Linked DNA regions of Caenorhabditis elegans. The protein of the gene in region 1 interacts with the protein of each later gene in a pairwise test. Each region holds a gene or a part of one and is shown in the gene's direction. Other genes may lie near its edges.

Region 1 (10,187 bases):
AAATTTGAATTCCCGCCAAAAATGTTTCAGAAAATTTGAATTCACGCCAAAAATTTTCAGAGAAATTTTGAATTCCCGCCAAAAAATTTTAAAGAAAATTTAAATTCCCGCCAAAAATTTTCAGAGAAAATTTGAATTCCCGCCAAAAATGTTTCAGAAAATTTGAATTCACGCCAAAAATTTTCAAAGAAAATTTGAATTCCCGCCAAAAAATTTTGAAGAAAATTTGAACTACCGCCAAAAATTTTCACAGAAAATTTGAATTCCCGCCGAAAAATTTCAAAGAAAATTTAAATTCCCGCCAAAATGTATGGGTCTCGCCACGATGGGTCTCGCCACGATGGGTCTCGCCACGATGGGTCTCGCCACGAAGGGTCTCGCAACGATGGGTCTCGCCACGAAGGGTGACTGGCCCCGCCCACAACTCTCAGTGACTTTAGGGGTGACGTCACAGACTACAAAGACTACATAGACTACAAACTATAGACAGACCCACACTATTTTTTTATATATAAGTAATGATCTCAAATTCACAATTTCCTTTGTCAAGTTACTCAAAAGTTGGCTTTTGTTTTGAATTTCACTATAAAGTAACCATAGAGACATCTTATTGTTCTTCCATTATACTTCACCTCTCTATATCGACACGGTTCTCATACACCTACCAATTACCAGTTAGCGGAAAAATATGCACTGAACTGAAAAAGTCGTCATAGTCATTATGAATACTATTATTCGTGTCACATTTGTGTGATGGGTCATCACACCATCATCATTTCATTCTCTATCTTTATACATATCACATCTAGTTTCTACTTGTTTATGCATTGAAAATCTGATGCTTCATGCTGTAACAAAAGTTTAGGATTTATTTGCACGACCTGCCCTACCTCATTCCTCGTCTTCCACATTTTCTAATCAAATGAATTGAGGACAAGAAGAGATATCAAAACAGAAGATAGGTTGATTTAGCACGGAGGTGATAATTGGCGAAAAAATGGGGGAGAAGTGAAAGCGCTAGGTGATAAGGGGAAGAAAAAAGATGGATGGATGTGCGTTTTTCTTGACATATCTCTTCCAATCATGCCATGTTTCCGCGGTCCCGTTCAAAATCACACGTCAACTTTTTATTTTGATAGATTAGATATATTATTTCAATGTATTCTTCTCGCATCTCAAATATTTAGGAATAACTGGATTGAGCTAAAAGAACTTTGAAATGCTATATTTATACCTTTGTTTTGAACACCCAACTTTTCAACTGGTTAATACACTCTTTTTTAAAAATGCAAATGATATAACCAAAACTTTTCGTGGGAGTTAATTAAGTTAAAAATATTTTTAAATAAATATATTATTTAATATATGGTGTACGGTTGAAATTGTAAGCCAAAGATTTTTTAATGTGCGGTGTGAACAACGAAACAGTTCCAAAAGTTTTTTGAAAAATCTCAGTTTTTAAAACTTCGAACTTGGGGATTTAATATAAAATATTTGGAAAACTACGAAATCGCATATCTGAACCGCCTCACTATAGTTTTTTTGATAACATTTTTCATACATTTGTGGTTTTCAATTTTTACTTGTCTAATTTTTATTTTGATTAACATAAGGACAATTTTTCTGTAGAAAGTGAGCAGAAATAATCAATTTTTTTTTTAAATCACATTGGAAACTAAATCCTCAACGCAATTTTAGATGTTTGAAGTGATATGTGTTTATTATTCACCTACATATGCAACACGTTGGAAACACTTATTACAACTTAACAGCACGGGTTTATCATTCTTCCTTCCTTCCACCTTCTCCTCTCAATTTCCACCCTTTATCTTCCCTTTACTGCACTTCATAAGTGCTTTTATCTCTTTTTCTTTTCCTCTCGATTTGCAGCATGTCATTATCTTTTTTGTCGTATATGTTTAAGTCAACGATTATTAACTTCAATTTAAGCATCGACCGTGTATCCTGTGCTATTATGTTTTTGTTGTTTGAGGCTATTTTGAAAAGTGCACAGCCTCCTCCGCATGTGCTCACTAGTTCTAATTGAATTTATCTGATTATTCGAGGAGAACCTTCTCAGATGCATAGAGTTGGTTTTTGTTCAAAAAATTTTTTCTTAGTCAGAAGTTAAATGTAATGTGCACCCATCACTGATCATAGTACATATGAATATAAAGTTTATTCAGCGAAGTTAAGGATTCTAACATGTAAAACAGCTGAATTATTTAAATTAGGAAAAATCGGTTAAAATCACCTTGAAAAATGTTGCCATATTGACTATAGCTATTAAGTAATAATTTTCTAAATGGAATTCATATTAATTCAGCTGGCAAATTTGGAAAAGTGTTTTGTCACCATCATGTTTTATTTTTATTTTTTGTAATTCAGTTAAATTGTTGGACGCTATGTTTTTTTGTTGAAGAATTGACACGAAATTCGTTAAAACTATAATTATCATTTTTTAAGAACATATCCGACAACTTTTCGTGAGAGCCATTGCAGTTTATAAAAGGTATCTTGTTCTAGTGGTACATTTTAGATGTAAACTCGCAAAGAGCTGATAATATGAGGAAAATCTTCACTATAATTTTTCACCTAAGAATATCCTTGATGACTACAACTCGAACTCAATTTTCCATAAGCTACTATTAAACTTTTTTTTCCTACATTGACCATTAGTAGTATTAGCTGTAGTTATATTCTTTGTTGTTGTTGTTGCATCCAATGCACTCCTAGACCGACAAAAATTGCAAAGAAGAAGAGGAGAAAAGAATGTGTAGTTTTGTGGAGTTGTGAGTGACCGGCCATCCACATTGCGCCCTTCCTATTCCCATCACCCTGCTTTCACCACTCTTGTCGAGATTTTGGTGAAAAGCGAGTAAAATGCAATACATTACGAGGCATTCTTCGCGCGGGAGGAAACCCGGGGACCCCCTTGCTTTTCATCTACAACACTCCCTTTTTCTACATATTTCGCATTTCCTATCTTTTTATGCATTACTACTTCTTGTGGACCCCTTGAGTAGCAAAATACAACTACATCTCAAAAAGAGAAAGTAAACAAGATTAAGACAAAAAACTATATGTGTTCACAAAATCTGTTCTTTCTCCTATATTCTATCCGTCTTTTTTGTTTCCTACTTTTCTTTTTGTTTTTTGACATGAACATCTGCTTTCTCTTTTGTCCTAAATTAAATTCTGAATCGATCATTTTACAGGAGCTCAGATGAAATGAGCCTCAAAGACTTTGTCATATCAAAAACCGAAGTAATCGATGCTTGTAAAAAAGGAGAATATGATAAAGTTGCGTTGTTTCTCAGCTCGAAAAAGGGCAAAAAGATTCGAAGCGGGCTGAAGTAATACTTATTTTCTAATTTTCAAATAAACTATTGATATTTTTCAGATTTTTCACAACGCGATCAGACAGTCATTGGCTCGCCGACTACAAAGATGAAAAATCTGACTTCACCTTACTCCATCATGCGGTTCTCGAGAATCAAAATCAAATCAGTAAACTCCTTATGGACTACGAACCACTTCTTTTACTGTGTAAAAGTACAAAAAATATTTTACCAATTCACTTGGCCGCCTGGAATGGGAACTTGGAGATTGTGAAAATGCTTCTTTTACAAACAATGGAAAAGCCCGCAGATATTCTGAATGCAGTGAACATTTTCAATGAAACTCCACTTCATCTTGCAGTTCAGAGATGTCATCTTGAAGTTGTGTTCTATTTGATAAAGGTAAGCAAAGATAACTTTGAGAATTAAAACTATTCGACTGTGAACAGGAACAACATTCATATCTATAATAAGTTATTCAATTTTGCAATGCGTTTGACGTTTGATTCTTGTATAGAGATTAAATTGTTGACAGATTTAACAATTGTTAGCTTGAAAAATCACGTATCGTTTCAATTTCCTTAAATTTCAGAAAAATGCCGACCCCTTCATTCGTAATGAAAACAAGGAAAATGTGATTGACGTTGCATCACGCATTGGATCTGCTGAAGCCATCAGAATGTTGTGCCAAAAATGGCCAAAGTTTCCTGTGCAGTCAGCATATGAGTCTCTTCGAGTTGGAACACCGGACATAAAACGGCCCTTTCCGGCCATATACCCATTTCACCTTGCAGCAAAGTATAATCACGTTGAGTGCATGCAAGTGAGTTGCTTTTTCCACTTTGCTATTCATTATTCAAGAATTGAGTATAAGAGTAAGGGTGATGCAGAATAGTTTACTCCTTGCGTGAATGTTGGTAGCAATTTGAGAATAGCAAAAAAACGGGGTTAATTTTCTGATAGGCGTGTTTCATATGAATCTGCAAGTTTGTACAATGTTTACAAATTTGAAATTCGAAATAGATTCGATAGTAACATGCTTATGATTTCATTTTCATAACTCATCCCAAAAAACGTTTAGTTTGAAATATAAACACTCAACAGATATTTTTTTGACTGTGCACTTATGCGTCACGGTGTTTGCGGTTTTCCAACAAAAAAAACTATATTTTCTGTAGTAAATATTTTGAAACACTACTATTTATTATTTGTATTTTTGTAGTTTAATCATAGGTTTATAAGACTCATATGTTCTGTAGATTTTTTTAGTTAAACAAACCCAATCAAATAATTTACTGTTTCACTTAAATGAAAAATGTACTAAATGTTTAATTTCAGGCTCTTCGTGAACATGGTTTCTCCATTAACTACACTACGGAAGATGGGACAGCTCTACATGTGGCTTCTGCTTGTGGACAGGCCGAGGCAGTCAGGTTTCTGCTGGAAATTGGCGTGAACACTGATATCAAAAATCAACACGGACAAACAGTGCTCCAAATGATCATCGATCTCCAGGAGAACCGAAGGAATGAAATCGCCCATTTTGTAAAAAATCCGGAAGGATGGAAGGAATGTAGAACAATTATCGAAGGAATGGATAGAAGAGACTCTGGAAGAGAAACCGAAGGAAGTCAAAGTGACAATGAAAGAGAAGCAATTTGGCAACCACTTCCAAGTCAAGCAAGCGGTGGGTTATTTTTAAAACTAATAATATGTGCATTGTAAGGAACATTTCGGTTATCAATCGAGTTAAGCTCAAAGTTCAAAATCTGAATGATAAATAAAGTTATTCACGATTTCAGTTCAAGTATACCCGGATCAACGAAGAAACAATCATTCCATCTACCAGCCACCTTCTATTTCTGCAAGACTGCGAGATTTATCCCCCGACGACTCTACAGAAGCTTTGAACAGTGTTCGATCAGAGGGGCCTTACACCACACACTCTATCAATCGTACATGGAACAGTTCCATGTTAGACAGAGCTCCAAGAACTGGAAGGTTCCCGTTGACATCGCCTAGTTATCACTCAAAGCATTATTCGTGTCAAAGATCCAGCGATACATTGCCAACGAGGCTGAAAAATGTTAGAACGAGGCCAACAGAAAAGCAAATAGGTAATCTATTATCGATATTCTGAGTTTACGGATTGACTTTATTTTCAGCTTCTGTACTCCCGGGAGATAATTGTGCATACAACTCTCCTTCAAAATTCAATGAATGGCAAAAGAGTCAACTGACCATTAGCAATCGTCCGCCAGCACCATATGACAACGTTCCGAACAACTCTGCAATATTCGTCCGCCCCAACTCACCAATAGCAAGATCTGCATCACTCCGTAGACAATCCGGATACGCAACACTTCCAAAACTTGCCACCTACTCTCCAAGAATTCCAGATCATGGTCGTCCTGACCTGAATGACGCCTTTATTCAAGACCCAGACAAAACAATGGATAGGTCATTGAATCGGAACCGTAAGTATAGGAAACGACTCTAATTAATATAAAATAAAGACTTTTAAGAGTTTTCTATTTCCCGAACTACGTGTGATCGTGAAGAATCGCTGGGATTGACGCAAAGTCCAAGACTGGACACCAGAGCAAGCAGCATAACATCATCCTTGACATACGCGTGCTCGACACTTGACAAAGGTAGGCATTTTAAGCAAAAATGGAATGATTTAGGGGCATACGACAACCTAAAAAATTTCTAGCATATGATGTACGAGTTGATAAGTTCGGGTAGATTATGAGAAAACGAATCTTCCAACACTGATCTCATGCTCGGTATCTTGTTAACTCTGAAAAAAAACTTTGGTCAATGACAAGGAAAAAATCATTTCCTAAACTTATGGAGTCCTGAAGTCAATCTAAATAAATGCAATTTCAGATAAGTTCTTCCGGGAACGCGAACGTGATAACGGCCGTGCACCATTGGCAATGCCAGAAGAAATAACAGGTTCAGTGACAGGCAGTGTCATTTACAGCCAAGGAAATGCGAATCAACATCTAAATGGGAATTATGAGAAAGACAACAATGTGACTGCAATTTTTTTAGAAGACGTGATGAGACCATCATCAAACTCTGCCGAGAGCCCACCTTCCCCAAACACCTCTAAAGCATTCATCTTTGACGCGTTATGTGGAAAATCTCGGCTGGTTGACTCTACAAATGTTGATTTCTTCTCTGGATTCTCGTCATCGTCAAATTTGAGCCACAGAAGCACTGAATCAACGTCGAAGGTGCAGATGAATAGCAGTTTCACTGAGCCGGAAGAGCCTGTCCGAATCCGCCGTCAAAATGGAACAACGAACCTTATGCTGAATTCACTTTCACCCACAGATAATTTGTCGTCCCCCTCATCAGACCAGAAATCAGACACGACCAGTGAAGAACCTAGTTGGGATAGGGTAAGTCGATCAGGGGACAAACCAATTTTTGTTTATTTTTTCGTAACAATGGCGTATCTGCAAAAAGCACACGGATTTTATGTTTCTCAACAGTTTCTCAATAGTCAGCTATTGTTAATGTAAAGAAAAACAGATCAGAAGTTTTTTTTAATGATAAAAACCTGCACTCGCTGTGCGGGCTTAATTCTTACGGTGTATTTGAAATACAGAGCCAGAAAAACTGTAATAGGTCAGTCTTTTTTGTGTATTTGCAAAGCTGGGTAGCGGGAATAAAACGCAGTAAAAAATAACGGCAGCGCCTAAACGTTTGTGCGTTTTTGGATTATCAGCATTAAACAACAAAAAACGATTTAAATGTCAATTCTATAATTTCAAATTTGAAAAAAGTGTCAGTGAAACTTTGTTAATTTTTTGTATAACAGGTGGAAAGTGTATTCGATTCGTTTGGTGCAGCTCCATGTCGTGAAAGTGTTTTTGTTCGTGAATACGAGCCACGTGTGGCAGTTTACTTACGTGATCGTGGGTCGAAAGCGTTGAGCGTAACACTTGTCGAGGATGAGTTCAGAGATCACAAGTCGCTTCTTGTAAAAAAGGTACTTTTAGTTACATTTTTGTTTCAACTTCCATTCATGTCACGTTTTACACCGGTTGTTCATGTTTCAGCAACCAAAAACAATAATTGAGTGGTTGGAAAGTGATGTTATGTTAGCCCCAGTAGCGGCTGATTCAGTTGGAGCACTTCTTCAAACTCATGGATATGATAGAATGGATCAACTAAAAGGGATAATAAATAGAAGTATCCTTACGGAAATCGGAGTAGATGACGTCACCAAGTTCAAGATAATGTCAGAGATTGAGAAATTGAAGGATGATGTTGCTAGTGCTGGTTGGTTTTTTTTTGAAACATAAAACACATTCATAAAACACATTTACTCTGCCGGAACATTTTAAGAAACCTTCATCAATTTTTCAAATCACTTTTCAATTCCAGGACGTTTCTTCTATGTTAGTGAATGGCTCAACTTCATCGGACTTCAAGATTACATTTCCAACTTTGTCGGTGCAGGATACAAGCATATGGCAAAATTGACAGAAATTGACTGGGACACGGCAAGATTGATGGTGAGTAAATTTGTTCAAATAACAACTTTTGTGATTTTAAGATACTTTTTATCACTGATTTCGCGTTTATTAATCAAAAAATATCCATAGACCTGTGATAATTGTTGCATATTTTTAATTTCAGCAACTCGGTGTTACTCGTCCTGGTCACATTGCTAGAATGCTCCATTCGTTCAAAAAAGCAGAAGACGAAAAAAGAAAAGAGTACAATAATCGACTACAGATTAAGCCATTAATGTCACCTCCTCCTCTGCCGCCAAGGTCAAAACAGTAAGTTTTTAATGAGAAATAATTTTCAAAAGAACAAACATTCAACAAGTTTCAGAAACAACTGTGCTGAATGCCCACAAGGCGATTTTGACAAGATCAAGAACAAGTTGCTGCAGGGCAACGTGGTGTATCGTGCACACCACCTCGGTGTTCTGGAAATTGGAGAAACCGAATGCTCTGATGAAGCTCATGCAGCTATGACAAGAATCAAAGAGTCGATAATTGACTGGGAGACTATTCCACGGGTTACTTTGGATTTGACTTGCAATGGAATCACTATCTTCGATGAAACTTTTAAGGTAATGATTAAATTATCACCTAATGGAATTGACAAATTGTAAAAGTTCAGCAGAACTGAGAAGCGGTTAAAGAATAAGGGGGTCGGGAAACAATAATTTAACGACTGATACACCTGCATTCGTTGCAGGAAAGTTATGACGTGAAAGTATTTCATAAAATCTGATTACTTATGAAATATACTTATACGATGTGAAAAAAACACAAAGATATTTTAATCGTATGGTATTTCGGAAATTGGATTTTAGAAATAGAACATCATATTTCTCGAACCGAGAATTCATATTTTGTTTGTGTTTATCAATTTTATCAATTGTATTTTCTCAGCAGACGTTAGAGGTTGAGACGTTTTTTGACTAGTCTAGGAAATTCGCCGCAATCGGATATCAGCTGTAGGCCACAAAAGACCACCCGCAATATTAATTTGATTAGAAAATCCGAAGCGTTGACAAACTTGCCCCCCGATTAATCTCAATGATTTTTTAGACTCTACTTGACGGCTATGGTGTCTATACAATAAGAGTCGTATGTCAGGATAGAAAGGATCTCAACTTCTTCTGCTTTGTTGCAAGGGACACTGAAAATCGTTTCTTTTGTCACACTTTCTGTGTGCTGACCTCGGTATTTCGCACAAATAATGCCTTAGAAAAGTTCATATTTCTAGGGAATTGCCGCAGAAATCATCACCACAATCGGAATGATGTTTGAGCTCAGAAGCAGAATGGACAAGTCTCTGCCAATCGAAGGAACAATGGTACGATGCCGGCATAACAGTCAGCAAACTACTGAGAACCAAAGAAATTAAATCCAGCATATCGGTCAAATTCCAAAGAATAATTATTACCATTGATCCCAGTATATCTGAATTTCAGCCATAAGTAGATGAGATTGGCTTTTGTTACGTGTAACTTTACTTAATTTTTAAAAACCTTATTGAAAGTTGTTTTCAATTTAATTTCCTAACCCGATGTCTTCCTTACCCGGAAATGTTTTAATTCTAGCTCTTCAAAAGTGCATTCCGTTGTTTGATGTTCTTTCTATTCTTGTTTTCCCAACAACTTAATTTTCTTTTAGCGATTTCAAACCATACAAAGTGATCAATAAACAGTATTCTGCTGATCTTACGTATTGGTTTCATCAACCCCTCACATCACATCAACCTTTCTCGATTCTATCCTATCGTTTTTTTCCAAAAACCCTTCAATTTTTTTGTCCATAATGAATTGTTCCCATCAGTTTTAGATACATTTTTCACCACAAAAGATGTGTTTTTTTTTTGCCCATCAAAGGGCCATAGGGGGTGCCGTCGTTTTGTGATTCTTTCAAAAAGATTGGCAGGAGAAGATAAAACTGAACCGAGTGCAGGAACAGAAAAAGCAAGGATGAACCCCTCCCTTTTCGAATTAAATAAATAGAGGAAGGGAAGGCGGAACGGTTGCATTTTTTCATGAATGCATCCATGAACGAACTTTATGACGTGAAAGGACTTGGACTTTCTTCAATGGATACGAATATTAGAAATGCACCATCCGTTATAACATCGTCCCCTGGACCATCAGTGTCAATATCGTTAATTTCAGGTATTAGTTTTTATTAGAGAATTTTCTATATTCCAATTTCTCATAATTATTGTTAAAATGTTAATAGAAAAATTTCAAACTTATTAGGTAACCGTAGATAAAATCGGTTTGAAAAGAAAATGCTCAAAAAAATTTTCACGTTTCATGCCAAACAACAAATATTG
Region 2 (7,208 bases), on another chromosome or scaffold:
CAGATGCTTCAGATTACAGGCCGTACTTTCTTCAATTTGATCGGTCAGAATAGCAACGATTGAACCTGAAATGAATTTTCCCATTTTCTGTAAGAAAGACATTCAAGAATCACTTCATTTGTTTTAGGTAGGGCTGTCAAAACCAAATCTTCGGTTTTCCGAGTGTTATTTTTGGAGTTTTAGTTTTCTTCCGCTCTCCAAATTTTCCGGTTTCGATGCCCAGTTGTTCAAGAAAAAAAATTTGAGAAAAAACAGGCTTCGGATCTTCCAGAATCGGGTGAAAAAAGACGTCATGGTTAGTCTATTTGTCAGTCGTAGGCACTACCAAAGCGCCAAAACTGTTTTCGGATATGTTTTTAAAAAGTTCACCAATTTAGTTTGTTTTTCAATTTCAAATCTTTCAGGGTTGGAATATGGTATTCAGTGACGTTCAATTTTCAACAAAAAAAACCGAAAAATAAAAACAACCCAATGGGAATGCATTCGTTTAAGTTTCATGATTCTTTGAAGTACTTACACTCGATCTCATTAATTCTTGAATCTTCGATAAAAAGCGATGAAGATATTGTGATAAGAATGCACAACACGAGAAGTTTCATCTGTAAAGTAAATGATTTTAAACCAATAGCGAAATTATATACAAAGGCTGAAAGAATAAAAATTATGGCTGAAGGTGCAAAAATGTAAGGTCATAATTCAATGTCAATAAGGAACTGAGGGGAGCTGACATTTCTTAAAAAGAACAAAAAGGAAATTAATCTTTGTTGGTGATTCTTGAGAAGAATATCCAAATATCTCCACCCACGCTGAGATATAAGGATATATGTACGGAGACAAAGATTAAAAAACTTTTAAGACTTCGAGAGTAATGGGCGGAACATAGAGGAACGTATAAAAACTAAAACTATAGTTGAACGTATACTGAAGATGAACACATTTTCGATTAAAGTACAATTATACGTAGTCTTTATTTTAGTTTATATAGAACTTATGTAGTATCTGTACTTCAAAAAAATGTTGGTTTAGTATATTTTTAGTTATAACCTAAGATTTATTTATTTGTTCGGATAATACATCAGTTCAATTACAACCAATATAATTGAAAAAAGAATTATTGATTGTTTTGTAACTACCAAATGATAATTATTCTAAAAACAGGATAGTAATTTTGTAGTAATTTTTCAAATAGTAATTTTGATAAAGAAATAATTAGACTGCAATAATTTTATCAAATAAAACATTAACTGTATTCTGCTGCTCACGGTTTTTGCAACAGGAAACAATGCTTAGAGGAGCAAGGAATTTGAAGAATGACCAATTGATGCCTTCTCAAAGAATATAAGCTGTTTAGGTTTAAACACCCAAAGTATTCAAAGAGAGTGTCATGCAAATTTGTAAAGGTGAAAGCATTTCAAACGTCATGATGTTACCAAACAAGGAGGTGGTTGTTCGTGATGCACAAAAATTGTTTTGACTTGTTGAGTGGGAGGAGAAGGAAATGGGTTGACGTATTGAGTCAGTTGAGTGTCATGAAGCATTTTTAAAATGCTAGAAAGGGAGTGGCTAAAATCAAACAATCGGATGGGTCAAATGATGCGTGACTTTTTGATTAACAGGCTGGAAATTCTACCGAGTTAAGCACTTTTTCATGATAAGTCTGAAATCATTCACATTTCAAAGTCGCACTTCTTAAAGTTCCTAAAAATACTAGATATATTTTTAGATGGCAACTTTTTTTCTGAAATATTCAGAATAAAAAATATTCAATGCGGCATCAAAAATAGTTTTAAAGGAAGATTACTTAGTATCAATTTATGAGTGATTTAATACTATAAAACAAACAGAAACTCTTATTTACCACTTACAAAAGGGAAGAGATTATGAACTGATATTGATAAAACAAGAGTTGCCTCGATTTGGAAAAAAACAACTTTTTTTCAGTTTCTTAACAAAACAATACGAAAAAGAAATTCAGATGAAGTTTTTGTTCATAAGATTTTTTTTTAAGACAGCGTTATATCGAATCAATATTTTTGGTTTTCTAAAAAAAATAATTTTAATTGGATCGAAAGTTAAATTATTGTTTTGTATTTTTATTGTTCTGCACAACGCAACAAAAAGAGAAACAACATTTAATGGAAAATAAAATGCATCAAAAAGTAATGCTCTCAATTATGGCTCATTTTGAAGGCGTTCGTCAACTCAACCGGAGCAAGGATGAAATGGGCTATTGAAAGAACATTAAAGTACGCACGAAAACAAAACGTTAATTCGAAAATAGGTATTTATGAAAATGATTTTTTTCAATTCTATACGGATGAAAACAATAATTTAAATGTGTCCTGAGGTTATTGTTTTCAAATTTCCTTAAAATTAATTTTGGAATTATTTTTAGAGTTTAGGAAATCACATGTAAAATGGAAAGGCCTCAATTCTGAACTTTTGAACTTTTTTGCGCGGGGTAAAAAATTAGCGCGGATTTACCCAACGAAAAATTTCAAGGATTTTCCAAATTATAAGCTTACAAACCGTTACACAAACAACATTACGATTCAAAATAATTATTCCAGTATAAATTGAATATAAACCTAGCTCAAAATTCGCCAAATTATTACTGATTTGATAATAATATTAGCCAGTAAGATTGAAACCAGAAACAAATATGAAAGAAGATTTCAAACTCGATTACATGAAGCAAGCCTAGAGAGAAAATATCGCAATTTTTCTGAAAACTTAATGTGATACATGTAGTGCCAACTTGGCAGATGTCCTATATGTCTTCGAACGTGAACTTTAAATTTTAAATTCGTCTTCATTTCAGCCACCCACTAGTTTGATATCCGATATCCTACGTCCAGAATTGTGCCGCCCACTTCATAATTTTCGGATAAATATCAGTTTCAAATGGTTACCACATTAGCAAAGTACCTACCACCTATGATCTTCGTTCAAAATTTCAGCTCGTGACTCACTCCCTCTTCTTTTTCATTGCTATAAAATGTGTTTGCAAATGTTATTTGCTCTACGAAACACAAAATATGCAAGTATTGTCGTCGCCCATCATCAAAGTCATAAACGGGACAGTGTCATTAGTTTCGATTCTCTTCGCTTTTTTCTCCCGCATTTTTTATCACTGATAACAAGACCTCGTCCACCTGCTCCCTCTCCTCCCTTTTTTCTTTGCATTTTCAGAAGAAGGACATATCAGTGTTGGCATTGTTGGTTGATTCACAGAGAAGTTATTATGTTCATCACTGCATTAATTGCAAAGGAACTTGGATTGTCTCGAGTTAAAGAACTTAATCCTACTGTCACTATCAATGGTGTCACAACCGTGGAGTTAGAGGTAACTTTATAAATTAGTTCATAGTTGAAAACTCATATATTAAACCAATAGGAACTATTTGAGGGCATTGCAAAAATCTCAAAAACTTTTAACTCAAAATTTAAATGTACTACAGATATCAAGTACTATAAAATTATTGTAACTCCTATTACTGTTAGTTTTTTTAATGGCTCAAATTTTAAAAGGATTTTGCAAATTTTTTAAATATTGCAAATATGATGCCAAAATCGTATACGTTACATTGTCGACTCTCTTAATCTGACTATTATTTTCAACGATTAGAAAAAACCGTCAACGCTAGATTAAGATATTTTTAGACAATTTTTAATGTTTAATTTCAAAAATTTTCGAAAATGTTGCTTGTGAAATTATCTTTGAACTTCACTTTTAAAGGTGCTAGTACGAATTACTTTCCAATGTTTTGTCTTCGTACAAAGCTTTCATGTTTTTTAATTCCATATTACCTCTTTAAAATTAATACTTCATGTTTGTGTTTTTGGATGGAGTGTATTATATTGGGAGTTAAATGAGCACAAAGATTATTCCGGTTATAAGGAAATTTCGTTCAAGTCGTTTCATTTTCTAATGACGTTTTTTGTGGAAATTTTTAACTGCCTGTTTTACTGATAAGAAAACGGAAATATTGTTAAATAAACAAGTTTTTCAAAATTGAACTCAATACGGTTGAAACAAAAAAAAATAATTAAAATATTGGAAGTATAGTATTAGGATTAGATTTAAACTTTCTACGAAATTGTTCCAAATTCGAAAGAAATGTGCCAAAATGTGATACTGAATGACCTTTGAATGAGGCCAATTTCTTTCTCCCGCCCTTCTAGAATATCATCGTTTTCTGGTTTTAGACAGCGGAGGGCCTCTTCCGAGTGCATTTGGTGAGAGATGATCAAGATGTTATAGTGAAACTAGAGGAAGGAAGCAAGCTTGCCGCCTACTACAATTCACTTTTCTGGCATGAGATATCAACGTTTGAGAAGATTCCTATTCCAAGTGCACATTTTAATCGATCGTTTGTTGTGACGGAAGATGAAAACAAACATTCTGTCTATGTTACTCAATTTTTGAAGAAAGGAAGTGTTCGTACCAAATTGGGATTACCAGAATTGGAACAAGTTGCCTCACAGATTGCAAAGTTACACGCTGTCAACTCAAAAACTATCAATAAACAATTCTCACTCAATGTGCAAGAAAATTATGGAAACATCATATCATTCAAAAAGAAAATTCAAAAAGAATTGATTGAAGTGTTGGAAACAGCAGTAACTACTACAGAAGTTGCAGACTACTTCATGAATCCATCCTCAGTTATTGAAAAAGTTGGAATTTTGACTCATTACTTGGAAGATTGGAAAGATGAAGATGCAGATGAAAAGGAAAAACATAATGTTATCGCACATGGAAGATTGACAGCTGAGATTTGCAGATTTGATGAGGATGGGAATTTGGTAGAGATCACAGAATGGGAAGTACGTAATTATTTTTAAAATAGAAAAAACTGCGTTCTACTATAATTTTTACTTTTGATCTTTCAACAACGAAAACCTAATTAATTTAGAACATTCATCTTGGAAATCCAGTGGAGGATTTAGCAAATTTGATTGTTTCATCTGCAGATGTCGACATTCGACGAAAAAAGTTCATGAAAGTGGGTTCGAGAGTCTTATGGGAACGGCAGAGCACCAGATGTTTTTGATGTAATTTGTTTTAATTTTAGATATTTCAAGTCTATTTTTATGCACTTGTTGACTATTACCCACCAAAGTATCAACTGCATGATTTGAAAAGATGGTTCCAGGAATATCAACCTACAGTTCTAATCAATGGGTGAGTTTAGGTTTCAAATTTTCAAATGTTTTAAAAGACCAAAAAGTTGTCGTACTTTTGATATTTTTTATAAAATAGTGTTTTACCGGATTTTCAAGAAAATAATTTTTCAAGGCATTTTAGGTTGCCCCAAATTTTCAGAACACTAGTCCCATTAAATAAAATTTCTAATCATTTCCAGAATCGAGTCTCTACTTTTTACACTGAGTGAAGGTTCGGATGACGTCAAACAAGATGCTGCACGTCGATGGGAGACAGCGTTGAATGATACTGTAGATTTCTTGACTGGAAACTACATTTCGGATAATGAGCACCCATTTCTCTCACAAAAAGAGAATGATGATTGAAGAATAAGATAACGTATTTGCTTTTTTTTTCAAAGAATCGAGAATAAATGACCGAATTCAAAAATAAAGATTGGTCGTTTTTTCTTGGTGACGAATGAATAAATCTTCAATACAAGAACGGAAAGATGCATCTCTTGACAACGTAGATATACGGACGACAAAATAATAAATGTATGACGTGTGAGAAAACACTTGAAGCTTGCTTAAAAAAGGGATTGGGTGTCTTCGAGAAAATCAGAACATTTCTTTCAAATTAAATTATGTAAGAAGATGTTCATATTACAATATATAAATAGCAATATACTATTTATAAATTATATTGTAAATAGATATTAATTACTTAATTTATTTATTTACGCTCGCGAAGAGACGTGGAAAAAGTTGAAGAAAAAAGAAAAATGTACACATAATAGATCATAAATACAATACACTGAATAAGAGGGATAGAAACAAGAAGAATAAATAGGAACGAAAGTTTGTTAACAGGACAGTTAGGTCAGGCGGGAGGAGATAATGTTATGTGGGTAGTTCATGAATCATCAGTTGTCAGACATCTCGTTATTCAAGATCTGATATATGTTTTAGAAACTTGGGGCTACTCAGCGTACGGTTTACAATAAAATGCTTATTGTAAATAATATTGTAAATAATTATATTGAAAATATGTTGAAAATAGAACAAAAAATGCAGCATCCGAAAGTTTCAGATGAAGAGTTTCAGCACTTGGTACATCTATAGCAGATTTTGAAGAGATGTTTGTATCCAAACATCTTTTGGCAGTTGATCAAGAAATTAATGATAGAAAAATATCACACCATAAATTCGCACATTTCTTTGAAAATAAAATCTTTTCAGAGTATTTGAATGTATAGTAATTGTCACAATCTTTATTCGAGAATATCGAGAGGATGTAGTTACACGTCTCCAAGTGAATTAGTTCCTCCCTGTTCCCAATCATAAGGATGTTCCGGTTGAGGACTTCTGCGCATTGCCCGACGGAGAATCTAAAATATTAGGATTTTACAGAAACAATGCTTAACAATTGTAAATAAAACCATACGTTGCAGATATTAACATAATCGGGAGCTGTGAAATAATTGTAGGAATCAATGAGAATCATCACTTCACGAAGTTCTTCCATCGGACAAGGTGCTCTCAAGAAAAGAGCGATTGCTGATGGGTGACGACTTTGTTGCTTGACTCGTGCAACTGCAGCACCATCTGGAAGACCTTTCCATGGAAGTTGTCCAGTGATCATTTCAACGATAACGTAGAAAGCTGATTCTAAATCATCTTTTCTATTCAGTTCTTGCAGTTGATGACAATTCAATGAAGCATATCGAACGGTTCCACGGAATTCAACATTGTCACGAGGTTTTCTCATTTGATTCTGAAAAAGTTATGATTCTTCAGAGTTCAAATGATTTTTGCTTTTCACTTGTCTCAAAAAGCCGAAAAATGGTGTTAATATTTCTTCTGTGAATACACTTGAGAAAAGTAATCTTTACTTTGGAGTCCAAGTAACGTCGTGAAATTCCAAAACTCAAAAGATACAACTTTCCAAGTTCGTTACGATCTTTCCGTCCAAAACAGATATTTGAAGGTTTCAGGTCTCGATGAATGAAGCCACAATTGTGAAGATCTTCGAGTGCTTCGATGAGTTGAATTCCGAC
Region 3 (7,590 bases), on another chromosome or scaffold:
TAATAAATGTTTAGGCATGCCAAATCATCATAAGCTACTCAAAAAATAGAAAATTTTTGATATGTAGCAATTTTCTAAAACTTTATCTAAAAATCTTTTTTTCCAAAAAATGCCTTTGGTTAATAAATTGTAAATCAAAATTCAGCAACAAAAAACCTCACTGGAAAAGTGGGAGTAAAAATACGAAATAAAATTTTCGTAACTTTTTGTCAAAACAGAATCTTAAATTTCCCACTATACCCATTTGTCCTTCAAAAATGCCATTTAAAGTAAGCAAAGAGGTATCATAAATTCTCACAGAACGTATGTAGTTTTTGTGTCCTTTACTTCTCCATTGCCTCATATTTTCACTTTTTTCGTGGCCGCAGCTCACAGTGCACACATCACAGAATGTTCCAGAGCCGAATGATTTTGGATGGAATATCGAGTGATGAATATTCACCAATGGTCGAGGCGGATCCATGGGATTTGGATCAGCTGCTCAGTGGTGAACAGGTAATGACAATTTTTAACAAAAAAACAACAAAAATTGCATAAAAGCGGTAAATAATCATCGACAACCAACGAATTTTGTATTTTTTTAAATGAGACTATTGTTATTTCTCGGGTGTTCCTCCTTATCTTGAAGGCGTTTATGTATATCATAGAAGCGTCCGCAACTATAAGTTAGGGTTTAACTTTTCGCAACTATAAGTTTTCAACTTAATCTCGGACGTCTGGATGAAATCTATGCCTTTTGGAAGAAGACTTTCTAAAGCGTTCTAAATACACCCTACAAAAGTTTCAGCGGCAGAGGAGCACTTTAAACTAGATAAAAGTCGATTTGAAATTGCTATCAGTGAATTTTTTCCTTACTTTAGAGGCTCGTATATTTTTTGATTTGAAAAATCCACACTTGGAGCATACCAACTGGTCCGAATCTACCGCTAATAGTAGGGTACACGCGTTCCCCGCTCTCTCAGAGGGCACTCTTGCATATCGTTAAGACGTCAATTGATCACTTCTTAGCACGCTTCACACCTTGGAGCGCACCTTCATATCTCTGAAGCTCCCTTGCCTACCGCTCGAACTCCCTTCTCAACACCCACCTGAATGGTACAATTTGCGCCCGGCTGATCCTAGTCAATTTTCCAATTTTGGGTGTCCACAAATGAGCCGGAGCACACACGAGAAGGGGGTAGGGATTAATTTGGAAATTGACTGAGTAGTTGTGGGGTGTGTGTGAGACGCGACGGACCCATCAAATAAACTTTCTGTGGAAAATAGAGAGTAGAGAGTAGAGAAATGAAAAGTGACAGAGCTCTTCAGGAGATTAGCAGATCACTTTTTCGGCTATCCACACGGAATTAGGTGAGAAATTACCTCTTTTTGTAGGGCACGGTAAAGGGTTTCACGATATGTTAAGATAAAATTAAAGTTGCCGAAAGTTTGGAAAATCCCCTGGAATTCTCTAAATTTTTTAAACTGTCAAAAAGTCTTCATAAGAGCCAAGGGTTGCAGTGTTCGCAAAAAAAATCAACTCTAAGAACTTCACTAAAACTTCCTGATATTACCTAGCTATAATCATTGGCGAAAGTTACTTAAACCTGTTGATGATTTTAGAGTATTCCACAGATTTGTCAAAAATTGCATAAAATTTACCAAAAGTTATCAAAAGTTTGTTAAATGACAACGGTTGCTTGTTATGGTATCTGCCCGCAAGCGCCCCGGTGTTAATTTTTCTACTTTTTTTTTTGGACTTTTTACGTTTTTCCAAACATTTTTTCTGTTTTTGACTATTTTCATGTATATCCTTCCGCCTGTTGCAAAAGTTCGGCTGTCCTCCATCTCAAAAGTGAGTCCGCGTGAAATATTGCCTCCCATTCGCCTCCCTCGAGGGACCTTTTTCCAAAAACTGAGCTTTTCCGGATGATGATGATGAGCAAACGTTTTTAAGAAACTTCGTCTCATATTCTACTTCCCGATTCACTCAATTTTGGTATACTTTTGGAACATTTCCAAGAAAGAGAAAAAAAATTTCAAAAACTTTTTTTTTTGAAAGTTTGTCAATTCATAAATCAGGAAAAAAATGCACGTAAGTTATATATTTTTACCAACTTTTTTCGAAAAAAAGGAAGACAAGTTTTTCTTATTAAATAAGAAAATTTAGGCAGGAAAATGTTTTTGTTTGTGCAAATTTGATTTGGCACCGCCCGTTTCCCTAAGCTTCCCCCTCTCCTTTTGTTTTTTGGGCCTTACTGCCGTGGTCAGTTTTGTACTATCTTTGATTAGTTTTTGGCAGAAAGTATTTTAACAGTTATTTTAGCAGTTTTCAAAAAAAAAACAAGGTTTTTAAAAAGATTTTCAACAAAAAACAGTTTTCCAAAATATTACTTCTATCGTAGTTTCCGAAATGAATTTTTAGTTTTTATATTGAAATTTATTTTTGAGTTTTTTGAATTTGTTTTTGAAATGTTTGATTTTTTTTTCGGAAAATTCAAAACATTAGAAGCTTTCTTCAGCACCTCGATTTCTGAAAATTTTGGGTACACTTTTATGCTCTGAAAATTTTAATTCAAACGTTTTTCGACATTTAATTTTTTTTTCGGAAAACTTTTTTCCACAAATGAGTCAAGTAAAACATTTTGAAATTTCAAAATTAGTTCCAAACATGTTTTTAAGAAAAATTGAAAAATTTTTTTAAAACTTCAATAATTCAATATTCATTCGTTTAAAATTTCATTCATATTTCTCTTTGCAATTAAATAATCCATTTGCAAAGCTACTTACCATAAAAAATTTCAAAAAAATTCGCTCCAAAATTTTGAGCCATTTTCTCGCGCTCCGCCCCCCATGAGACTTCTCATCGTGTTCTTTTTTCGTTGGGCGATGAAATTCATCAAAATGTCCCAAGAGTGTTGTTATTGTTCGGCTCAATGCTAAAAAGAAACAGAAAACTCATTTCTGGCTTCGTCCCAGCCATTGATGGAGGGGTAAGGCAATTCGCACCCCGTCCGAGTTTTATGACCTTTTTTGACACTTTTTCGACGTTGTATAGGACATAACGAATAGTTTAGCATAAAATTTGTATAGTTGTAAAAAAAATGTTGAAATTTTAATAATTTTCGTTCTTGAAAAAAAATTTCAATTTCCCCCGCACTTTATGGTTTCGGTTTTCGTTTCGGGTCTGCTAAAAACTTTTTTTTTTATTTTTTAAGTTTTGCACAACTTCACAAGATGCATTTCCATTTATAAAAAACTTCAATTTTGTTTGAAATACAAATTTAGGCAGGCCCATCGAAATTTTCCTTATGAGGAATGTTGGTAAGACCAACCTTTGTATGAACTTCTGTAGTTTCACTTTCACAATTCCCAAATCTCTCCGATTTAGATGCCATTCGTCACCTCTCATCTACCTTATACCCCCGGACGGGTCGGGATGTTCACCCGACCAATGCATCAACGACATTATCATCGCAGAGAGCAGGATCAGAACGAGAATGATGTATTGATTATATATGATTTTTATGAATGTTTTTATGAATATTCAATCAAAACGTAGAAATATTAGCTTGTCTGGTTTTTTTCTCGGTACACGCTTTTTTGCAAAATTTGAATCCCTTTGGATTGGCAACGCGGTATTTTGTAAACTTGCGATCGGGGTTCAAAATCTCGAACTTTTTTCACATCATTTTTTCCAGATAACCTCTCGCCCAATGGCAACATGGAAAACCTACGCCCGGATAATCCTCGCTCACGTCAGTCTTATTGTCTTGTCGGTTGTCTATGTTGGATTTGGAGCGTTTCTCTTCTATCAGTTGGAGCAACCGAATGAAGTTGAAGTTCGAGCTAGGAATATCGAAAGGTTCAATATTCACAAACGACAAATGATTGAACATTTATGGGAGATGAGGGAAAGCGGTATTGGACAACGTAAGTTTTTTAGACTAGAATTTTGAATTTTAGCAATAGGTAAAATCGATTTTTGAAGCTTTTAAAATTTATTGATTTTCTCAAATTAAAATTATTACGTAATTTTTTCTGAAAACGTAAATATTCAAATAATTTTTAAGATTTGATATTTTCGACATTTCTTTTTTTTTTAAGTATAAATATATTTTCAAAATTATTGAGTTTTTAGGGTTGTTCAAACATTATTGTGTACTCTTTCGGGAACTAAACAATGTTATTGGAGCAGACTTTTTCCAAATTATCTATATACTTTAAAAGGACGGTTGCAATTAATCAATATTTTTTGGAAATTTTCAGAATTGTTGAAAATATATGAACAAATTTTTTTGGGTTTTTTTTCAAATTTATTGCTTTTTCAAAAAAAATCTGCATTATTACCGACTTTTCTTGGAACTTTCCAAATTAAATGTTCCATCGTTTTCATTATCTCTAAAAATCATCGAAATTTCCAGACGTGGTGGAGGATCTGGCTGTAAAATACGTAGACAACGTCACTCGCATTCTTTTCGAGGCATTTGACACCCATTGTATAGGAGCTAAGCATCTGAGACCCGGCGGAGAGGATGAAGACGTGAGTTGGAGTCTGAAATGTTTATCTGAAATTGAATTTGCACTGTGTTTAAGTTTCACAAACTCAATTTTTAAATTTCAGTACAATTGGACCTACATGACAGCTTTATTTTTCACTACAACTCTCCTCACGACTATTGGTTACGGTAACTTGACCCCAGTAACCGGAAGAGGAAAATTGCTCTGCATCCTATACGCACTTTTCGGTGTCCCACTGATCCTTATAACTGTTGCCGATATCGGAAAGTTTTTATCTGAAAATATTGTTCAATTGTATACTTGGTGAGACACTTTTTTTTGAAAACTTTTTTAAAAATCCGAAATTCAGGTACCGAAAGCTTCGGGAAAAGTGCTCAAAACAAAAATACAGTGTCATTTCCAGTAAGGACGATAAGAATAAGGAAGGGGACCTGAATCTGGTAAGAGGGTCTAAAAATGGTCTAGTAGTGGTTAAAATGGGCAAAAACAGGCAAACATTTTTTGAAATTAATAAGTACATTTCGAGTATACTTTTGAAATCAGCCAATATCGGGTACATTTTTAAAATTCGGAAAAAAAAACGAGCGATAAAACCGCCCGCTAATCACCGGCAACTTGCCCATCTTTCAGCTTCTACAAAAAATTCAATTTCTCCAGTAAACCAAAAAAAAAACTTGAAAAAAAAACAAAACATTTTGTTTTTTTTTCTTTTTTGGTCTGAACAAAAAACTAAAAAAAAACATCCAAAAAATTCATTTTTGCCAAAAACACCAAAATAACCAAAACAATCGACCACTTCACCCTCGAACACTTTCCAATTAGAACTTTTTAAGGATCATTTGGAAAACTACATCTCGATTCCTATATTCCTAATTGTGGCGATACTACTCAGCTACATAACATTTGGAGCAGTTGTTCTGAGTATGTGGGAAGGATGGGATTTCTTCTCTGGATTCTACTTTAGCTTTATTACAATGACGACTGTCGGATTTGGTGATATAGTACCATTGAAACGGGAATATTATATTTTAGACTTATGCTATATTATTATTGGATTATCGATTACGTAAGTTTGTGATTTTGGCTATTAGTGCCTCGAGTCTCAAAAAAACTGTAGTTTGTAGTTGACAAATTTCAAATCGTTGAAAATTTTTGCCAGTTGCGTTATTTTATATAGGTAGTACCAACAAAAAATTTCCAGCACGATGTGTATCGATTTGGTTGGAATTCAGTATATTCGGAAAATGCATTACTTCGGAAGAGCTATTAAGGTAAGAAGCTAAATTTTTAGTCCTACTAAAATTTTCTAGGACGCCCGATTTGCTTTGGTAAACGTCGGCGGGAAGATGGTTCACGTGCCGGATTTAATGAGATATGCGAGTGTTCTACAACAAAAGTATGGCCAAAAGAAGACCCATGACACAATAATTGTCAAGGGAGCTTATGCTCCAAAGGATCTGAGCAAAATACGGTGAGAGGACTCGGTTTTTTTCTTAATAAAAAGAAAAATCAATTTAAATTTTTGTATATCTAGATTCGTATAACAGTTCAGTTACAAATTAAATATTTCAAATATTCATTTGGTATTTACTCTGATAAGTTTTGATATCTGAAATATTTTGAAAACTCGTAAATTTCCAGATTTATCGATTTTGGAGCATTGGCCTCAATTGAAAGTTGGCAATCGCTATGGTCAATTCTCACTGGAAGAACTCAAGAAGTTCATGTTTAACTTATTTTTAGATTAATTGTGTTTGTTTTTTTTTTGTTTTAACGGGTGTTTTTTAATTAATTTTTTAACATGAAAATAAATCTAAATTTTTCAATTTAATAAATACATAAAGTATTTTCAAAGTTCAAAATATGTTGCATCAAGTTAGGTTGCCTTTGGGTCCAGCAACAAAAACGCGGGTACTGTATGAGGTACGGAAGGTTAAAAAACTATTCAAGCTTGCCATGACTATACTTTTTCAAAGATTGCTGTAAGTTTAAGCTGAATTTTTGTTAGATAAACTGGAAATTTAGAGCGATTTTTAACAATGTAGAAACATTTTTGAGGTACTTTAGGGTTTTGTGCCGGGACTTCAAAAAAAGCATTTAATTGTTTTTTCTTGTTTATCTGAGAAGCCCTATCATTTTCCAATCTTCACCATATCTGATTCTGAAATTTCAACGAATTGCGTTTGCTCTTCAACAGCTCCCCCATAAAAGTAATTAGTGTTTCTCTCTAAAGAAAATGAAGAAGGGGACATGCTCTTCCTCCCCGTTTGACACACTAATTAGTGTCATTTTCCATGTTATTCTTGTGGTTATGCAAGTCTAAATAGGTACTAGAACATCATATAGTTGTGGATTTTTGAAGATATTAAGTTCTCTGGCAAAATTTGGTCTGCATTTTTTATCAAAGATTTCCCAAACCCAGTAATGAAATGCACTTCAATAATTTAACATTTCTTCAAATTTTTTCAGTTTTTTTCAACTACATAGGTATATCCGATTTTTTTAGCATTTATAGGAACATATTACAAGAAGTGGATTGTAACTTTCACTAAAAATGTTCAGATAGAGGTTCGACAAATTTTTGAGTCGACGGTGAATTTCGAATGGTCAGTGAGTTTCAGCAGTACACCAAAATCTTCCCCGTCCTCTTCGGTTTTTTCTTCCGGCCACCCGCCCAAATTTAGCTGGGAGAAAATCCAATTCCCGAAACGCGACGAGGAAAAATAGAGAGTCACGACTTCTTCCTCCCGGTTTTCTCGATTTTCTTCGTCTTCTGTTTGTACATTTGTATCCCCTTTTTTAGAAAAGAAAGGGCCCCCGTCAGATATACTTTTGGCAAATTTGGAAATGAAATTTGTGCTCTAATTTTTTTTTGTTTCGTCCTTTTTCTTATGTTCTTTGTTTCGGTTGGTTTGGAAAAAATTTGGAAATTTGAAACAAAATTTTTAAAAAGAAAGTTTTAGATTTGAGTTTTAGTTTTAAGCATAAAATAAAAATAAATACTTTTGAGTTTTTCGTCCAATTTTTTTACCGTAACAATTAAAGTTTTAAGCATTCAGCAAAAATTATTTGAAAATTTTATATATGATA
Region 4 (7,527 bases), on another chromosome or scaffold:
GTAAATCTTAGGCTTTCTTTTTCGCCCAAAAAGTGACAAAAAGTGAGAAAAAGAACCGATCGTTTTTTTGTTGTAGTGTTTGTTCTTTTTTGTTCAGATGAGTTAATAGTTTTTTTTCAGTTTTATCTAAATACATACGCAATTATATTTGCCGACCTAATCGATATCGATCGCGAATTTAAAACTTTCTCCCTAACGTACCTTCACTGACATCGCGTCGAGACCCTTTGCATATCAATGTGAGTGCGGCTTTAAAACGTGCTACTGTTCCGGCGGCGTGTTGTTCATTTTCTTCTTGTTCTTGTTTTTCTTTTTCTTTTCTCTCATGATTTTTCCCGATTTTTTGTTATTTAGTGGCTTTCAATAATCCCAACTTCTTCAATTTTATAGTTTTTAACGTAAAAATATCAGATTTCAGTCGTTTCCTACTGTGTTTTCTTTATTTCACAGTGAAATTTAAACAATACATCTTTTGAATACTGAAACCAGCTGTTTTCTCAGTTTTTCTTTTCGTCACACTGATCGCTGGAAGACAAACACGAATTGTTCATCACACATTTTTTTTTCTCCCTTTTCGGCGAAAAAACCGAAAGAAAAAGTTTTCCGCACCCTTGTGGGCAAAACGATGAGCTCGCTCGTTTCGCAGGAGAAAAGAGCGCCGAAGGTATTTACTTTTTGGATGTCTAGCTTTCGCTTTCTGTGATAAAGATCTCACCTATAGCGCAATATTTCAATCATTTCCGGCGATCAGTTCAGAAATGACGTATTTTCATATTTCCCTCTCTCCGTCTCTTCTGTCTTCCTAGTCACTCTCTCTCATTAGAATAACGGTCGCTCTCCTCTGACCTTCTTGCCCTCACAACAAACGCACACAAATATCCTTTTCTTTTGCCTGTATTCAACAGAACCGATTATGCTCTGCGTCTCTTCAATCAACTATGTCTCTCATGTGCCTTTTCATTCTGCGTATCTTCTCTCTAATGCACTCCCGTGCTCACCTTTTCCGTCCCTCCATTCCTGTACTCACATCGTTGACACGCCCGAACGGTCGAACGGTCCGTATGAGAAATTGGTTCAGCCAGCTTCCTTCTTTCTACCTTTTTTTTGTTTATTTTGGATAAGGAACTCTGAATTTTAATTTTTACTTAAAATATTTAAACGGCTTTCAATTTACTTTTAAGTTATTGACAAAGAAAAACAATCATTGAGCACATTTCCAATAGAAAGTGCACTCTTCTTGTTCCCACTTCAAACAATTGAAATGTGCGGGAGCAAAAGCTCCAATTCGCTTCTAGTTTTCTCCTTGTAGCGAACAAAACAATGATGTTCTTTTCATTTGGACAAACTTGATTTGTAATTTTATATAATCGATGCAATTAAAAAAAATTTTCTCTACCGCGAACCTATTTTAAAAACTCAAAATAAAATCCTGAATTAAAAGAACCGGAACATTTTTACTTTTTCCTTTTCGTTTCCTGATGACCATTCGAGTTTCGTTAGTGACAAGAGAAAGAATTTGTCGAAATTGAGTTTTCTCCTCTTCCTTCCACTCTTTTGTGCTTGTTCTGCTTCCGAAGCAGCCAATTCTCGACTGAATAGGCCACTTTCGGAATTATTTCAAGTGGACCTCTTCCTTCCTCTATTCATCATGCACTCTTCTACTTCTGCCCCCATTTTCGCTCAATTGTCAACGATTTGATCATCAGAAAAATAATTTTTCGCAACTTCACTTTTTACGGACCATAACTAGCAACCCACATTTACCGGTGTTCTTCTCCTATTTTTGGTCGTTAATCAACCGGTGATCCATTTCAAGGTTGATGTCCCCGATCTCTTTTTCAATGTCTGTGTATCTCTCATTCTACACCGAAAGCCGTTTTGGCATTGTGCCAAGTCTCTTTTTGAAGATATGTGGTACGAGACTGTGAGAAATAAGAAAAGTTTGTTGATAATAAACGAAGCGAATAGAGAGAGGCACAGAGGGACGACCCCAATATCTAAGAGGCCGTGTTTACTTTGGCTCGTCGTCATCTTTCGAACCAACACATGCATACGCTCCCTTGCGCGCGCGCTCCTCTGATCATTCAATCGCAGGTCCTCCTTCTCTTCGTTATTTTTGTTACGGCTCGTTCTTTTTTACGTTTTTAGCATGTGAGGCGTTTTATCAGCAAGTTTGAAGTTTCAGCAAAATTTCATATGTAAGTTATTAACACCTTATCACTGATTAAACGGTATTATTACGAAATGATAATAATTCGTAATTAGATACAGAAAACTATAATAACACGGCTACTTGATAATTTTCATTGTTATGTTTTTGGACTCTCTCCTGATTTTTCTGTTTCAATGGTTCAATTCCTCTTTGATCATTTTTAATGGCGGTGAAATATTATTTTTGTTCTATAATATCTTCAAACCACCGTGTTAATGTGAAAAATTAAAAGAAGTTTGTTTTTATTTTGAAAAATTGAAAATTGTCATAAATTTCACGAAAAAAAACGGTCGAAATTCTCATTTTGGAAATTCAAGCATGGAATTTAGCCAAAATTTAAAAATTCAATTTTTCGTTGTTCTTCGATTTTATTCGTTCTTCTTCTGTGGCATTTCTGAATTTTAGACAATTTTGGATTTTTTAAAGAAAAGTTCAGTATTACGATTCACGTTTGCTCTTTGTCATTTTCTCTCAATCCTTTCAAACAAAATTATACTAATCTTCCCTCCATTTTCAGATCTCAGTTCTCAACGAGATGGTCACGACCAGTAGCGGAGGGGGTATAGGGTACCCGGCAAACAACGGTGTCACACAGGTGAGAATCGAGATTAATTATTTTTCAAATTGTTACAAAAAGGGATTGATCTATTTTTGTAAATCTTATATTCACGTGATTCATGAAGTACGTGAACTGTGACGAAATCATAATTTGTTTAAAAAAAAATCTAAAAATAAAAATTTCAGTGTCGATAAAAATTTTTCAAAAAATATTTAAGGTCTACTGTTAGATTAGCAGATGTTTGACGATTATCCATTTTTCATATTCCAGGTGTCTCTGATTCACTCGTCGGATTCTGTACGAACTGTTTCAACTGCCCCAATATACCGTCCGACGTCATCAATGGCATCTACGATGGCTCATAAATCTTCGACGGCTCCGTTCATCTCCGCAAATCAACGAGTTAGTTTTTTTTGTTTGAAATGAAAAAATGCGGAACAAAATTTTCAAGAAACGGAAATGCTATTAAGATTTTATTAGAAAAAATTGAAAAAGAAAACTCGATAACGGAAATTCTTCATATAATTCAATTGGTTTCTCCCTTCATCTCAACAATCCGTTTGATGGATGATGGCTAGGTTCTGATAATTTGTAGTTTTTTTGCGGGGAGAGTAACGGAATTCTTTGAATTTTTGCATCTCACGCAATTGTATCATCACCTTCCCAAAAAAAGATAGTCAGAAAAGGAGAGAACACCTCAATAGCGTATCTTAGCGTAGAAAAAAGTCATCTAATTTTGATTTGAAGTGTCACGTTTTGTTTTTTTTTTTCTGCCGGGCCATAAGTCAGGTAGGCAGACATCAACGCATCACAATCGCCATAAAATAATGATAAAAATATTATATTTTAAGATAGGTCCTGGTTTGAATTGGTTAAGATTGTCGAAGATCAGAAACGGATAGGAATGCATCAGAGATTATTAGTCTCGCGTGATACCTTCAGATGGATCAAAATGACTTGCTTTTTTTAGTTGATCGAGATTGATTCGGAAAAATTTATACCAATCAAGTAAATTTTTGATGGAAATAAAATCAGTAAATTTTTGATTCAGTTCCAGAATACTCGGAATATGCCTACAAACTGAAATTTCCCAAAAGAAAAATAGAAAAAATTAAGAAAGATCAAAAATTCCAATTTTCAAAAACGCTCTTTTTCAATTTTTTCCCTATTTTAATTTCCTCCAAAAATAAAACTGCGATCAATCAGCATTTCGCTCCGCCCACTTTTTTACCAATCAGACGAAGACGCTGATTGGTTCGAAACTGGGTGTGGCTTCGAGATATGTAAATTCACACTTTTCAAAGTTGGAATTTTTGATCTTTAGTAATTTTTTCTTTTTTCTTTCGTGGTATTTCAGTAAATTGGAATTTTCAGAGTTTTCTAAAAATGTATCCCCATTTTTCGAAATCCTCCTTTAAGATTATCAAAAACATTTTCATAAAATAGTTTAGTCAATATAAAAATTCAAATTCCTGATGATAAATAGTCTTTCCATAGGTTCACGACCACTTTTAGTTTAAAAATTTCTCTTTTTTATCTTTCGGTACCTAATCACCACATATCATTGATAGTAGTGAGTGCTCTTCGTGGATCGGTCAATTGAAAGAAGATGCCAATTGGCGTTCTCCCCTTCTTACTTTTGCCCTCCACGAAATTGAAACAATTTTCTCATCATCTTCATTTTCTTCTTCTCTCGTAACAGAAAGTCTGACCTTTGAAGAGAGACACAGAAAGATAGACGAAGTATTCGTGTGCGTACGCCGTACGCGCCTTGCCGATTAACCTCGATTTATCATTCAAGCTTTCCCCTATATTGGATTCTCCGACTTATTTCTTCATTTTAATTCTCTTCTATTTTTATTTTCTTGACCCACTGGCCAAAAGCTCTTCGTGAATATTAAAAAGTAAAAAAAAGTTCCTCCTCTAGCGTACACGAATATTTTTTGTTGATAATAGACAACAACTGTTTTATTTTTGTTTAATTATTTTATCAAAAAAAATCTGTGGCTGTGAAGGAAAGATCGCCAAAAAAAAACTGGTCAGTCGATTAATTTTCGATTATAAATTTTGTTTTTTTTTTTCACTTTTCACTCACTTCCTTCTCATCGTTGCATAGTCTTGCGCACGTCGGCAACGCGTATTACAACTAAATTAATTGCGCAATTGTGTGAGTGAACGCGTGTGTGAGCGTACGCTTCTCTCGGCTTCTTCTCTTTCAATTCCATCATCTTTCTATGTTGTCGTCGTAGAGTCGCATAAAGTTATAGATGTTATTTTTTTTCTTGTAGTGTAATCGAGACTGTCGTCAAGTCATTATGCATAATGATATGTATTACGTGTTAAGCGTTATTATTCTACAATTGTAAAGTATTTTTTCATCTTCGCGAGGCTGTCGGTGACTGTTCAATGATTGTTGTTGTAGTATTTTATGACAGAAGATACTATTCTATGGTGGCAGCCACTACAAATAATGCCATACTCTTTAAAATATTCTTGAAAAAAAACTGATTAGAAATTTTGAGAATCGCTTCATTTAAGTAAAACATTTTTTTTTGATCGGTCAAAATGGGATACATGTTTGGTTCGCCGAAATTTTTCTTTACTCTCTTCCGGTGTTTAATGTTCATTTCTCTTCCGGTGGCCCGAAAGAGTTCTAAAGCTAAAATGTGACATGTGATATCATCATTTTGAAAACACTTGTTTTTTTTTATCTTCCGTTCGCCAACACGACTTTTTTCTTATTACCACATCTGATCCAATTGAAAGGGAAACCGATTTAAGTAATATAAAAGTCATCTCTTGCATAGGTTTGAAGTGTTGAAGTTTTGACATTTACTTTTTCATTCTGTAACTTTTCGTCGACCAGTTGAATCCTTTTTCTATTCCGTTAAATACATTCAGCTTAGTTTCATGCTTTTCAATACACCAACAACCATCAACACAATCGTTGTCCGAATCGCCTCAGTTTGGTATGCGATTTAATGCGAATTGTCGGTGACTGTCGTAGAAATTAAAATCAAAACAGATTTTCTTCTATTATTTTATGTTTGCTAAATTCCTCAATAGTTTGTTCAAAAGCGTCTTTCGTTTGTTTTGAATTAATTTTTAATTCACTCTTTCTTCTACTTCATTATTAATTTTGTGCGAGAAGTTCGTCAGATCATCATGAGGGCGCATAGACACAACATTTACGACATGTTTCACTTTCGGGATTTTCAATTGAACAGAACACCACCAGCACGAAGACAACGACAACGATCCACACTTTGTTCCAAAATACACGTTCCTTCCCATCGTAGGGCCTCCTGCTGAGCTTTTTATCCTATCAAAGAAGCTTCTTGTCGAAAAGGAGAATATATTTGAAATATTAATCTTTGTTTGAAATTATCAAATTGATAATTTAAATAGGTTCATGTTTCATAGACTAATTCAAATTTCATTCTATTTCTCTTTTTGCCTCATTTTTACTCTGAAACATTACCTAGTGTACAGTTACCAATAACTGATAGACTCTCTAAATCCAATAATTATCTCACGGGCTCTTTCTGATTCAGGGATATTAATTTCTGCACCTGTCAAATTCGTATTCCAAATAGATCCTAGAATTTAACAAATTTAGCCATTTTATATATATAATATTCTTGCTCTTGATCATTAACACTCGATTTCCACTGAAAGATCAGATCATGACGCTCAACTATCTGTGCTTGATTCCCGTACTTCCGATACTTTTCGCAATATAGATCTCGATTTCTCGAGTGCTTCCTATAGTGAGCCGTGTGCCGTCTCCTACTGTTTTCTTATTGTTTTGATTGTCTCGACAACAAGCCGCGAGAGACCACGTGCGGCCGCTGCCCACCAATAGAAACGATATTTATGTCTCGTAGAGTCTTGCCGACTGTTTTTTACGCTTTCCGTGCGCGCGTCGGCAAGCTCCGATGGCGGCACTGTAGAACCTCCAACTCACCGTCATTACCCACACTGTGCTCTGCACCGTTCACACTCATCAATAATTATTGATGTTGAAGTTAACTCATACATCCATTTAATTCGATTTGATTTCTTCAAGTTTACATAAGGCATAGTTTCCACAGTTTTACAATATAATTGTTAGTTGTAAACTATTGGTTAAATAGCTCACACCCTTTTCATCTTCCTGTTGGAATATAATAGAGGTTTATGGGACGGGACGCCGTTTCTCGTCTTCGTCCCGAAACAAACTACTACCACCAAAAAAAGAAGAGGAAGGTCTCTATCGCTTCGCGCAATCTTTTTGACTTGAGTCCTCTGGTCATTCTCAAACATTTCTCACTCTTCCATTTCTTACTATTCCTTTTGTTTTTTAGCTGCTCAGCACATGCTATTATTGTTCGCCATAGGTAATACCAATTGAAACAGTTTCAATTTGAAACGCATGTATTCACAGTTATTTTTCTCTATCATCATCTCTCTTATTGGCAATGGCTTCACACTGTTCGTAAACCTGTTGTTTGGCTTAGCGTTGACTTTTGCAGCAACGTCGCAACGCGAATCTGCGTCTGTCCACAAACGATAGGGAATATAGATAGAGGAGATATGCGCGGCGCGCATGTGGTCGCAAAAGCTGGAGAAACGGGGGAATAAAAAGTAAGGAGACGGAAAGAGATGAGGAAGAGGAGGAGGTAATAATAAAACTTCTGGGTCCTTTTTTCTTCAAACATCTCCTCGTTGTCGCCGATTTCCTCGGGCGATTACGCAAGACGATGCTACTAGGTCT

Evidence for each region.
Region 2: the proteins of C11E4.6 (region 1) and C50F4.1 interact in a two-hybrid assay, tested with the Caenorhabditis elegans proteins (one large-scale study listed by BioGRID).
Region 3: the proteins of C11E4.6 (region 1) and twk-40 interact in a two-hybrid assay, tested with the Caenorhabditis elegans proteins (one large-scale study listed by BioGRID).
Region 4: the proteins of C11E4.6 (region 1) and ape-1 interact in a two-hybrid assay, tested with the Caenorhabditis elegans proteins (one large-scale study listed by BioGRID).

Annotation. Positions count from the first base shown.
Region 1 is NC_003284.9:9,607,345-9,617,531, forward strand, and holds C11E4.6 (ANK_REP_REGION domain-containing protein), read left to right. Parts: upstream 1-3,218; 5' UTR 3,219-3,231; coding exon 3,232-3,356; intron 3,357-3,403; coding exon 3,404-3,743; intron 3,744-3,933; coding exon 3,934-4,164; intron 4,165-4,679; coding exon 4,680-5,028; intron 5,029-5,143; coding exon 5,144-5,458; intron 5,459-5,506; coding exon 5,507-5,818; intron 5,819-5,866; coding exon 5,867-5,995; intron 5,996-6,233; coding exon 6,234-6,754; intron 6,755-7,176; coding exon 7,177-7,347; intron 7,348-7,417; coding exon 7,418-7,640; intron 7,641-7,745; coding exon 7,746-7,876; intron 7,877-8,000; coding exon 8,001-8,146; intron 8,147-8,201; coding exon 8,202-8,445; intron 8,446-8,929; coding exon 8,930-9,064; intron 9,065-9,107; coding exon 9,108-9,248; 3' UTR 9,249-9,701; downstream 9,702-10,187. Other genes in the region: C11E4.7 (PID domain-containing protein), read left to right, coding at 9,903-10,023.
Region 2 is NC_003283.11:9,523,601-9,530,808, forward strand, and holds C50F4.1 (CHK kinase-like domain-containing protein), read left to right. Parts: upstream 1-3,192; 5' UTR 3,193-3,244; coding exon 3,245-3,346; intron 3,347-4,209; coding exon 4,210-4,830; intron 4,831-4,919; coding exon 4,920-5,009; intron 5,010-5,078; coding exon 5,079-5,188; intron 5,189-5,369; coding exon 5,370-5,535; 3' UTR 5,536-5,650; downstream 5,651-7,208. Other genes in the region: C50F4.9 (Cocaine- and amphetamine-regulated transcript protein), read right to left, coding at 1-65, 518-599; C50F4.10 (non-specific serine/threonine protein kinase), read right to left, coding at 6,450-6,539, 6,596-6,925, 7,044-7,208.
Region 3 is NC_003281.10:13,485,285-13,492,874, reverse strand, and holds twk-40 (Potassium channel domain-containing protein), read left to right. Parts: upstream 1-3,370; coding exon 3,371-3,484; intron 3,485-3,680; coding exon 3,681-3,912; intron 3,913-4,403; coding exon 4,404-4,522; intron 4,523-4,603; coding exon 4,604-4,803; intron 4,804-4,849; coding exon 4,850-4,940; intron 4,941-5,333; coding exon 5,334-5,566; intron 5,567-5,701; coding exon 5,702-5,771; intron 5,772-5,810; coding exon 5,811-5,971; intron 5,972-6,141; coding exon 6,142-6,232; downstream 6,233-7,590.
Region 4 is NC_003283.11:11,673,215-11,680,741, forward strand, and holds the start of ape-1 (Apoptotic enhancer 1 protein), read left to right. Parts: upstream 1-2,723; 5' UTR 2,724-2,747; coding exon 2,748-2,807; intron 2,808-3,041; coding exon 3,042-3,173; intron 3,174-4,780; exon of another isoform or gene 4,781-4,985; intron 4,986-6,498; exon of another isoform or gene 6,499-6,706; intron 6,707-6,910; exon of another isoform or gene 6,911-7,057; intron 7,058-7,269; exon of another isoform or gene 7,270-7,402; intron 7,403-7,527. UniProt on the Caenorhabditis elegans protein: Negetively regulates apoptosis via its interaction with cep-1.